Daphnia pulex: one gene and its partner. The protein of the gene in region 1 interacts with the protein of each later gene in a pairwise test. Links are inferred from orthologs where the notes say so. Each region holds a gene or a part of one and is shown on either strand. Other genes may lie near its edges.

Region 1 (5,780 bases):
CTGTTCCCTCCTCCCACACCTTGCAACCGAAAGGGTTGACATTCCCTGGTTCGCAACATCCGCCATTTTTTCAGCTGGTGCTGCGGCGAAGCAAACTACTACTAACACCGGTAACAGCTAGCGTTTCTTTCTGCTTTGTCTCATCTTCTTGTTTTTTACTACTGTGTGTGCCACTGTGCCTCTACCAAAAATCAATGTTATGCTAATTTAATGGCGTTTTCTCTCATCTGCAGTGGTTTAAATAATGACTTTGGCTTGATAGAAGTCAAGTCTGACTTTTTATTAATGTTAACAATCTATTGTTTTTTTCTAGTTACGGAAACATAAGGTGGATGGAGTAAGAAGGATGACGGCCCATCCGTTACTTCCTTTGTGTAAGTTTGGGTAGACTGTGATCGATTGCGGCAATTAATTAATTTTTTTAAACCATTTAACAGTCACATCAATGTCACAGCAAGGGGACATCAGATTTTGTGTTTCTGGGGTCATCGAGTATTTTGGCCACAACCGGTCACAGTTCAGAGTCCCGCAACGTCGTTTTATGGGACACCCTAATGCCCCAACGCAAAGCAATTATTCACTGTAAGTTGGTTCCTTTTAACGTCAGTAAGGTTTGAATATCGCTAACGACTCTTCTGATGATTTTCCCTGCAGCATTTGTATGTCACGAAAACGGAGGCACCAGTTTGCTCTATGCGTCTCAGCATCAGCTCCTGATATCGGCTGGCCGCAAAGGAATCGTCTGCTTATGGGATTTGAGACAACGAACACTTCGTCACAAGTTCACTGCGCATGATTCTTCTGTTGCGATCAAATGCATGGCGTTAGATCCCAATGAAGAATTCTTTGCCACTGGATCTGCTGACGGTGATATCAAGGTATATAAGGTTCTTATCAACCAATATGGAAGTTGTAATGATTTGTATTCACTGAAAGGTCTGGAGCCTTGCTACACAACATTTACTTTACGCGTTTCCTGCTGAACATTCACGATCATCCTTTTTCCGTTCCATGGGGCAAGGAAATGGCGTAAATCAAGTATGTCCTTACATTTTTGTAAATGTGTGGGAATTACTGAATAGCTGTTCAATTTTTAACAGATTCATCTGGACACGTCAGGACGACTCTTTTCTTGTGGCTCTGATGGTTCAATGAAGCTTCGTCAATTACCCTATGTGGGGAGTAGAGAAACCGCTGTCTCAACTCTTTACTAGAAAAACAAATGTTTAATGGGGGCAGTTGCGGGTAATGGCTAAACGTTTAGTTAAATTTTTTTAATATTTCGATTTACTCGAATCCCTTGAATATTTTAAGGATGTCGTTGATACATGTCATTTATCTGGCTGTTCAGATTACTTATAGAATTGGATTGCGTTGTGCTAGTCACGTTTAGTATGCTATTACCTGTCAACCATTCCACTCTTCAGCGTCGTCGCTCGATGTTTCCAAACCTTTACCTTCCTTAAAACCATCACCACACCACCACACACTTTACTAACAACATTCTGAACGGCTGGTAATATGTCATTCCTCCTATTTTGTATGTCGCTAGCACGTTTGGTCGAGCAAGTGGAATACAAATGCGTTACGTGTGTGCTGATGTATTGAACCGTTTACAAATAATTCCAAAACCTCCGAACAAATGCGTCGTGGTGAATGTACATCTGGCGATGTATTCGAAGTTTGAAAAAACCACTACAACAATTTAATGCCACTAACATTTTTACGGTTGTTTATATGTTGTTTTTCTTGTAGTTTCTTTTCTTCTTTGAAAGCTAACGAGTTGGCTTTCTTTTCCTTTCTTCTTTCCTGTTAAGAAAATATAAAATTCAAACATTAATAGTGAAAACTGACACACGAAACATTTGTCGCTTATTACTTGACGATATTCTTTTACAAGTCGCTTCCTTTCGGTTCTCTGCTCTGGTGTTTCATCTTTTGGTCGAATGGATATAGTCGATAATGTGCTGATGATGGACTGCGTTTCGACACAGTTCTTTTTGGTCCCTTCAGTTTGTTGATCGAGTTGATCTAAGAACTTTTTGGTCAGACCGGGTTTCCCCAGGACATTAAGGGGAACACCTGTTTTGGGACACACTACGAATCAAACGAAATTTTTTAATTAGATTTGAGCTTTATGGACACCAAAGTTAAATTTCTTGGAACCTTTAATAATTCTGGAACTCTGTGGTTCAGAAATGAGTTTAGGATGATTGTAAATGTTAGAGTAAGTTGACAGGATAGACTCGCAATCCCATTTACGTTCCTGTTCACCTTCTTCACTTGAACTGCTGTCATTTTCTTCGTCGCTCTGGTACTTTTCCAAGTACCTTTCTACAGCTCCTTCCACCTCGTCTCTTGCCTAAAATTCGATTCACAAGAATGACGTCGATATTCACAACCTGAGAATAAATAAAAGATAACTGCAACTTACTACTTTGCCAATTTCACGACCCAATCTGATGCCTTCTGTCTTGTCATGTTCATAGGCCGCAGCCAATTTCAACACTTCATCGTCTTGTAAGGTGATGTGTCCTTCGATCTCTTCGCAATCTAAAGCGCCCATTTCTTCGTCGTCATACTGAGCCATCATCTACAAATAAAAATCCATAAATACTGTAATCTTTGAATCAAATGAAAGTGGTCAAATCAGAATACATGTTCAAATCTGTCGTCTAGTAACGAGAGCTGGGCATTTCTTCTGATAACTGAACTGGTCATCGAATATTCAGTAAAATGCGATTTGTTATCGTCATTGAAATCGGGTGAACGTTGTCCTGAGTCGCTTCGCATGTCACACAATACGTCGTCGTTTTCTTCTTCATCGTCACCACTGGAGCCATCATCTTCGCTATTAATCATAATTATAAAATGAATATAAGCAAATCCAAATTCAATTCAATTGTCTCGAGAACATACTCTGTTTCAACGTCAGAAGGTACTCCATTAGCAAATGCAATAAAGTCATCTTCTAGTTCATTATCAGGATCATCGAAATTAAAGTCGTCGTCCAAAGCTGCAACTATGTCTGGGTCCAAGTCCGGCCTCGGTCCTACAATTTTCAGTAACTTTTAAATCCTTTCTCAAATTTTGACATTAAATTCAAGGCTTAAAGAAATGAAAACCTGAGTGGGGAGCAGCTCTATTTAGTAGTCCAACTTTTTCTTCCACTTTTGATTGGAAAACTGAGGAGGGCAGGGCAAGTTTGTAGGGATGGTCCTAACCACAAATAGAAAAAAAAATGTCAACTAATAGTTCTATCATACAGCCAATCCTATAGATCCTTACTGAAAGTCCTCTGGCAACTGGTGCTTTCCAGACTCTTGAATTTTTAGAATCTTCTGCCAGTTCCCATTCAGCAGTTTGTTTAACATCACGCAAGTGCTGCAGGTAATTATAATCATCATCAAAGTATATTCCAAGTTTAGCTAGTTCTTCTTTCTGTTGGGCAGGATCCTGAATATTAAAACCTTTTATAAATCACACTTCCCTTTAATTTTGATTTGTTTATTTTGATTTATTCATACCTTTGGTTTAGAGGATGCAGGGATTTCAGTACTTTTTTCTGGTTTCAGAGCAATTGGAACTAGAACTCTTTGAGGAGCCTGCTCGTCAGCGGCAAGAGGATCCTTTTGACTTCGATGTACCAAGTTGAAGGTGACTGCATTTTTCTTGTCTATAAATTTCTTTGTTTTGGGCTGTCAAAAAGAGATGTCAAAACGAAATGTTATCATGGTATTATTTTCAAAAAGTTATTAATGTGACTAAAAGAATCTTCACGTACCATTTTCCGATAGTGTAAATAGATCTAATCGTAGTTAACTGAATAAATCAACGGACTTCACAAAAAATGTCAAACAAGTACCATGCAAGTACAAGACCACAATCCTTCACGCTTCTAAAACCTGTACATTCGTCTGCTCAACACAGAGCAGTGAAAAGTGATTGCCAGATTTAAAATGTTTTATTTTAATTGCAAATTTGGCGTAAATTTTGATATTTATCTGTTATTGTGGTGGAGTGGAGTAAAAAAAAATCGAATACGGTTAGCCGAAAAACATTCACAATCATATTTGGTGATATAATTTCATTTTTCAACGAATTATTACACGAACTTTGGATATCGTACAGAGATGGCGTTTACACGGAACGAAAAATAGTTAATTGTGGAACAAAAACTGTAGGCAGCGTACGTACGCCGCAAGGTACCCGAAGGGAATGTTAAGGGTATTCTAGTTGGTATAGTAGTATTGGTATAGTTTTACAAAGACAGAGTTATAGAATAGTTATAGAATAATAAAAATATTCCGTTATAAAGGTAGGCCTATTATTAAGATGGATTAATAACATTTAAAAAAAATTTATGCCCTTAGTTTCCGGAAGATTGTAATAAGCAAAAATCGAGAAAGAGATTAAAAGAATATTTCCGCATGTTTCTATCCAAACATTAAATAAAAATTAAATTCCAAAAAAACCTAATATGATATGGCGCGGCGTAGGGGTAAGGCGTGACTTTGGTGCGGCGGAGGCTTCGCCCCACCACCCCACGTCACACCGGATCTTGTTAAAATTAAATTTAAGTAACTACCTATCAGCACTTCTGTTACTGGAGATTGATAGCGTTCGGTGATAACATACAGTGACTTCTATTCTATCATACAATAGTAGTCGATTGTCACGTTACGTTTATATCCCTGTCACATGTCTCTGTATTATCGTCTGCTGTAACAGCTATTGAAATTCTGTCAAAAAGTAACCAGAACTCCGTTTGATCAAATGCCTGAATCGATTGCAGCCAAATTTTCAGAATAGATGTAAAAAATTGTAAGCTACCGATTACTGCCATTGAAATGCAATAAAATTGTTGATTACAATCAATAATTGCCAAAAACTAGTGCATCCATCTATGTAGTGTTACGAGAACTGAGGGTGCCCATGTAAACCATACTGCAAACGAAACTTTGACCAGTAACCCTTCGGGTAACTAAACACAGTCCTTTTACCACTTTTGATAGATTGTTATGAATTACTAACGACAATACGAGCGACCCATTTTCAAAAGCCACACCAGTACACTTAGTGGTTTTTTACTAATTTATGTGGTGCTGTATGACAGAACAGAACTCGGTGGTGACTAGCTACTCTTACGCTTTCCTTTCAGAGATAAAAGTCATTTCTTGGCAGCCGAATAAAGTGACCGACAGCTAAGAAAAGGGACGACGAGGAAATAATTAATGCCAAGTAACGCCTGAGAAGAGCCGAAGAATTGGTCATCGTTTTTTAATGGCATTTGTTTAAACAACTTTCTTTCATTATATAAAAAAACAAATGTTTGTTAAATTTGTTCCATTCTTAATGTACTATGCTGCTCCATTCATATTTTGTATTTATCGCATGGAGCGCAGGGTCCGTCTTTACTTTGAAAGACTTTCAAAAATTTATGCCTCATTAAACTGGATCAATAATTCAAATAGCCGAATGCAAATTTGCGACGGAAGCCGTTTCCGAAGAAGTCTAGAACCAATTAGGGATCTGAACTTCATGGCCAATGAAGTGAAGTATTTTCAGCTTTCAAGACACAGTTAATAAATAAATGGTATCAACTAGTTAACGAAGTGATGCCGTATATATAATCGACATTTGTTACGTAACCTTCTGTTAACTTCGCTTTCGTGCATTGCACAGCGGGATTTTGTCGTAACTTGTTTGTATTTTTATTAGATTGCTGATGATAATTTCTGTGAGATGACCGTGACTTGATCTCCTATGTACTAGACAGT
Region 2 (4,679 bases), on another chromosome or scaffold:
AACGATTATGTAGGTCAATTATTACACCAAGTGACTTTTAAACAAAAGCAGCCGAGTTCTGGAAAAAGAAATGGAATGCATTCAACCGATTTTCAATGCTGACTCCAATTTAATATGTAAGAAAATGGCGATTAGTTTTTATACGCTACGAATACCCTTCATTCCACCTATAAATTATGCCCCAAATTTTTATTCTTGGCACGTTGTCGGTACTATTAGTTGTTCTATGTCTATGTCAATACGACCAAGTCTCTATGTGTACGCCAGGAAAACTTACATTCATTACAGACATGACATAACTTCTTATTTCTCATGTTCTCATTTTATAATCGGGATATTTTTTCCGGGGAAGTTTGGTTAGCAACAACAATAGGACCGCGTGCATCTCAAATAATTTTTCTTCTGTCACGGAGCAGAAAAAAAAATGCCTTGTCATCCAACATTCGTTCAGTTTCTTTCAATATTCAAATACAATTTGTTGCATTTGCTCGATTTCACAGCCGCGCGTCTAAATTCACGAGCCGAAAAATTGCCATGTCATCTAACAGAAAACATTCCTGTAGTTTCTTTTAATATTCGTCTGCGAATTAATGCATTAGGGTCCAGATTCACGAAGTTTCTGTTTTACGTTTTTGGCATCATAAACACGAAAAAGAAACTTGGTAGTGGGAGACAGGTTGAAAAGAAAGAACTTTCACTGGCCAAGAGCCCACTAGTCTTGCCACAGTTCTCAATAGCTTGGGGAGCTCTGCAGATCAGATATCTGACTTGGGAAAAACAAGCAGTATCAAACCAACTTGAGCAACATTCTAGTCATCACGTGATCACGCCAACGACAAGCTTATTATTACTTTTTTGTTCAGTAATAATTTCAGAACAAGACCATATGCTTAGTTCAATGCCTCACTAGTGAAACCCCCGGATTAAAAGTTGTTTAACGACCCATTGTATCAAGTAATGTCTAGCTTTCATCCTGAATCACCAAGAAAATGCTTAAATGTCAATGCTCACGTAAGCTCTTAAATACACTAGATTAAGAAAATTAAAGAAAAGTTCTTACCTTTCCAGTAACACGAGTAACCACAACATCGACAATATCGGTAACATTTCACTTTAACTTTTCTTCATGAGATGGATAACGATAAAACAATTATAAATTAACAAACTGCAGCAGCTCTGCATTGAACCGTATTTTGAAGTTCACTGTCGGCATGTAGTGCACAATTATTCTACGAGAACTATTTTCAGCAACCGACACGTTCAATTGCAGAACCACTTACTGAAATAAGTCTCACGCCGACAGCGGTAGTTGGAAAACCTTGTTTTTCACGCAGACCTTACTCTAATTTACTAAGATTTTTTACACATCAATTCTTGGACTTGCTTCATTACCTAAATTAATTGGTAAGTTTAATTTGAGCGTAAAAAGAAAAGTAGGGTGTAGGATAATAAATAAAACACAACCTTGACCAGGCAAAGCATGTATTTAACTCTCGTTTCATATTGGAAACTACGGTAGTTAATCGACACCAGCCCAGTAAATAGACGAAACACTCCTTAGGCAGCAGCTTGGGTGGGAGGTGCTGCTGCGATGTCGGACATCTTGGCTGCTTTAAGTTCCTCTGCGATGTGTGTCTCATCTTTAGGTTCCAGGATGGAAACATTGTCTGGCAAAGGTCTCTTGGGTCCGTTCTTGTTGTTGGGATCCCACGGCAACATGATCTTAACCTTAATACCAAGTACTCCTACAATAACAAAGATGATTAGAAAGATTCCTCCCAAGTCAATATAATGCACAATAAATTACCCTGGCGAAGCAAGACGTGTCTGACGGCAGTGTCGACGTAGACGTTGGTGGGTTCTCCACTGTGGATCATCAGACCATCGACGAACTTCATGCTCTTGGCTCGCTGACCTCGAAGTTTGCCAGATACAACAACTTCACAACCCTTAGCTCCAGACTCCATGATGAAACGGAGAACACCATAACAAGCTCTGTGTAACAACACATTACATCAGAAATGCACTATTTAAACGTCAGCCTATTGAATTAGCTTACCTGCGAACAGCCAAACCACCAATGAGTTTGTAGCGCAGGGACTCAGCTTGGGCAATAGCACACAAGCCACGAGTAGCAACCTTCTCAGCATAGAGCTCAACAGTTCCCTCTTGGAAGCCAAATCTCTTTTGGACAACAGATGTCAACTCGCGAATGCGACGGCCTTTCTCACCCAAAACATTCTGGGTACGTGTAGCCAGAATGATGATTTCTGTGCGAGTGGGGGCAAGGCGCACCTAATAGGAAAATGGGTTTTAGATATCTACACAGTAACAAAATAATTTCACAAGAATTACCTCAACTCCAGAATAACCATCTTCGGCCAATTCACGGGTCAAGAAGGCGTTCAATTCAGCCTTGAAGACACCTCCCGCCACAAACTGTAATACAAAATTATAAGAAAATTAGGTAAACTCAAGCACACTGACAATAGAAACATGTCAAGCCAAGACGAATTTTATCCTCCAAAATCTTTCACATCCTGGTTAGAAACTGTTCTATTTCATCAATAACACCTCAATATTCAAACGGTGAATATGTGAGAACAAGATGAAAAAGATTCACGTGTTGAAAGAATTACTTGCCTTTCGTTTTTTCGAGATCTGAGCCGTAGCCATTTCACGTATTTTAAGACCGGTCTACGAGAGGAAGAAGGAATACACAGTACTTTTTCTGTAGACGAAGTTGACAAGCCCAGCATTGCCTCCTTCTCAACCCCCTCTTTCGGAATTCATCTTCCCACATAATTTATTTCAGTTTGCTTTTTAAAATTTTTTCAACTATCATTATAGAAATAATAAATTATAAACAAGTTTAATTGGTTCATATTTGTTTAAAAGATTTCAAAAGTTTTATTGTAGATTTTCCATCTGTCAACTCCGACAGGAAGTCCGAAATTCAACAGCGTTGGACGAAATCAAATGTTATAAGTAGGACTGTAAAACGCCATTTGAAGCATGTGAAGCTCCCCCATCTGGTTTGATTGCTGCTAGCCAGTTTTGTATTCGTTTCGGTAAATATCTTATTTAATTCATGCAACTAAGACTGAATTTTGCATTCCTTTGAACCACACTAGCTCTACTTAGCTTATAGTGGCCAAGCGGACATGCTAAATTAAAATTTATTCTGATCTACCGTTGTCTCCTTATTTGGAACACATGGATTGAACCGAATTAAAACATTTGATAGTAGTAACATAAAGTAATTGATGTTGAAGGCACTGAGGCACACTGTGGATAATTTGTTGAAGTGTGCTTTAAATGGTTTTCTATGATGTTGAAATGCTAATTCTTATTCTGTTGTTGTACAGGAACCCTCACATCGCTACCTGAAGTTGCAGATTTCCTGGTGAAATAATTCTGTTTGGTGTATTTTATAGTATCTATATTGACAAATAAACAATTTTTAAAATTACATTCTGGCAAATTGTAACTAGTGAAAATTAAAACAAATTAATTTGTAGATAACTATATTCAGCGTTAAATTGTTGGTTGAATCATGGTTGGATGATGAATCTCATCAAGAGACAGGCTGTTGCTATTCTAATAGATTATGGCTTTTGACTGAGATAATATAATGTTAACTGTAAGTAGGGTACCATGAAAAGCTGTAAATATTAACATGTAACCTTTTACTTGATTCTTGTTTTTACAATCTTACGATTCTGTTTAAAAGGGGTTCCTCGTTAGCACATAAGCCTACTTTTCGCACTGAACTCGCTCATGAAATCATTTCTTCCTGATATGGTTGGGATAAATTATATTGGTAAAATTTTCAAGTTCGCATCGATGTATTGGACCACACACTTGTTAGCACGGGAATTTTTAGACGAAGGGAAAATTGTAGCCTAAGAGAACATTTTATCGAACAATTTCAAGGGCAGTTGAAACCCATTTGAGTTATCTGAAGTTATGTGCATCCAAGAGCTGTTTAGTAGTTTTCTGAAAATCACAGCTTTATTAGAAAGTTAATGGACTGTTTACTTATTAGTCCTTGTCTTCATCTTTGTAGTGGCGGTATTCCGGTTTCAGTTCCCACATGTTTTTGTGAGGATTCTTCAAATTGTATACACAAACATCCTTCAAAATTTCCTTGAGGTAGGTCTATAAAAGCAGAGGGTTTTAAAAGTGCAAATGCTTGTATGAAAACAACTTTTTCTTACCACAGGTTGGTTGGTGAGTTTTACCAAGTCCTTGATGTTGTAGTACTGATGCTTTTCAAAAGCTGCAAACAGCATGTCCATAACTTTGCCCTTATCATCTCTGGCTTTCTTACCCTCAGCTTTCTTCTTTTCGTCGAATTCTTTCTGTAATCAGGAATAAAAGGTTATGATGTACCAAAAATAGACGAGAATTGCTATATTTACATTATGCTTGTGGTCAGAGATGGGTTTGTAACTTTGAACCACTCGATCCAATTGCTTCACAATTCTTGTAGGTTGGGCAGCTTTAATCAAAGAATCCCTTTTGAGTTTCATGTAACTTGCATTTGCTGATGAAAATAAAAATCATTAATGCTCACTTCAAGCTTAGGAACTTTATTTTGTTGGTCTCACCTGTTGGTCTACATTCAAGCTTCTGGGCAACTTTGCCTTCAAATATGATCTTCTCAGTTTCCATAG

The links. The genes of interacting proteins can lie anywhere in the genome.
Region 2: the proteins of protein LTV1 homolog (region 1) and 40S ribosomal protein S3-A-like interact in a two-hybrid assay, tested with the Caenorhabditis elegans proteins (2 studies listed by BioGRID). The link is inferred for Daphnia pulex from reciprocal best matches to the Caenorhabditis elegans genes T23D8.3 and rps-3.

The regions. Positions count from the first base shown.
Region 1 is NC_060017.1:1,279,820-1,285,599, reverse strand, and holds protein LTV1 homolog, read right to left. Parts: upstream 3,942-5,780; 5' UTR 3,788-3,941; coding exon 3,785-3,787; intron 3,699-3,784; coding exon 3,528-3,698; intron 3,457-3,527; coding exon 3,289-3,456; intron 3,220-3,288; coding exon 3,126-3,219; intron 3,053-3,125; coding exon 2,920-3,052; intron 2,852-2,919; coding exon 2,659-2,851; intron 2,594-2,658; coding exon 2,435-2,593; intron 2,363-2,434; coding exon 2,167-2,362; intron 2,098-2,166; coding exon 1,880-2,097; intron 1,810-1,879; coding exon 1,696-1,809; 3' UTR 1,648-1,695; downstream 1-1,647. Other genes in the region: dmX-like protein 1, read left to right, coding at 555-582, 655-878, 937-1,038, 1,101-1,214.
Region 2 is NC_060025.1:408,135-412,813, reverse strand, and holds 40S ribosomal protein S3-A-like, read right to left. Parts: upstream 2,790-4,679; 5' UTR 2,677-2,789; coding exon 2,644-2,676; intron 2,440-2,643; coding exon 2,356-2,439; intron 2,296-2,355; coding exon 2,060-2,295; intron 1,996-2,059; coding exon 1,808-1,995; intron 1,746-1,807; coding exon 1,558-1,745; 3' UTR 1,466-1,557; downstream 1-1,465. Other genes in the region: general transcription factor IIF subunit 2-like, read right to left, coding at 4,045-4,161, 4,221-4,364, 4,425-4,549, 4,614-4,679.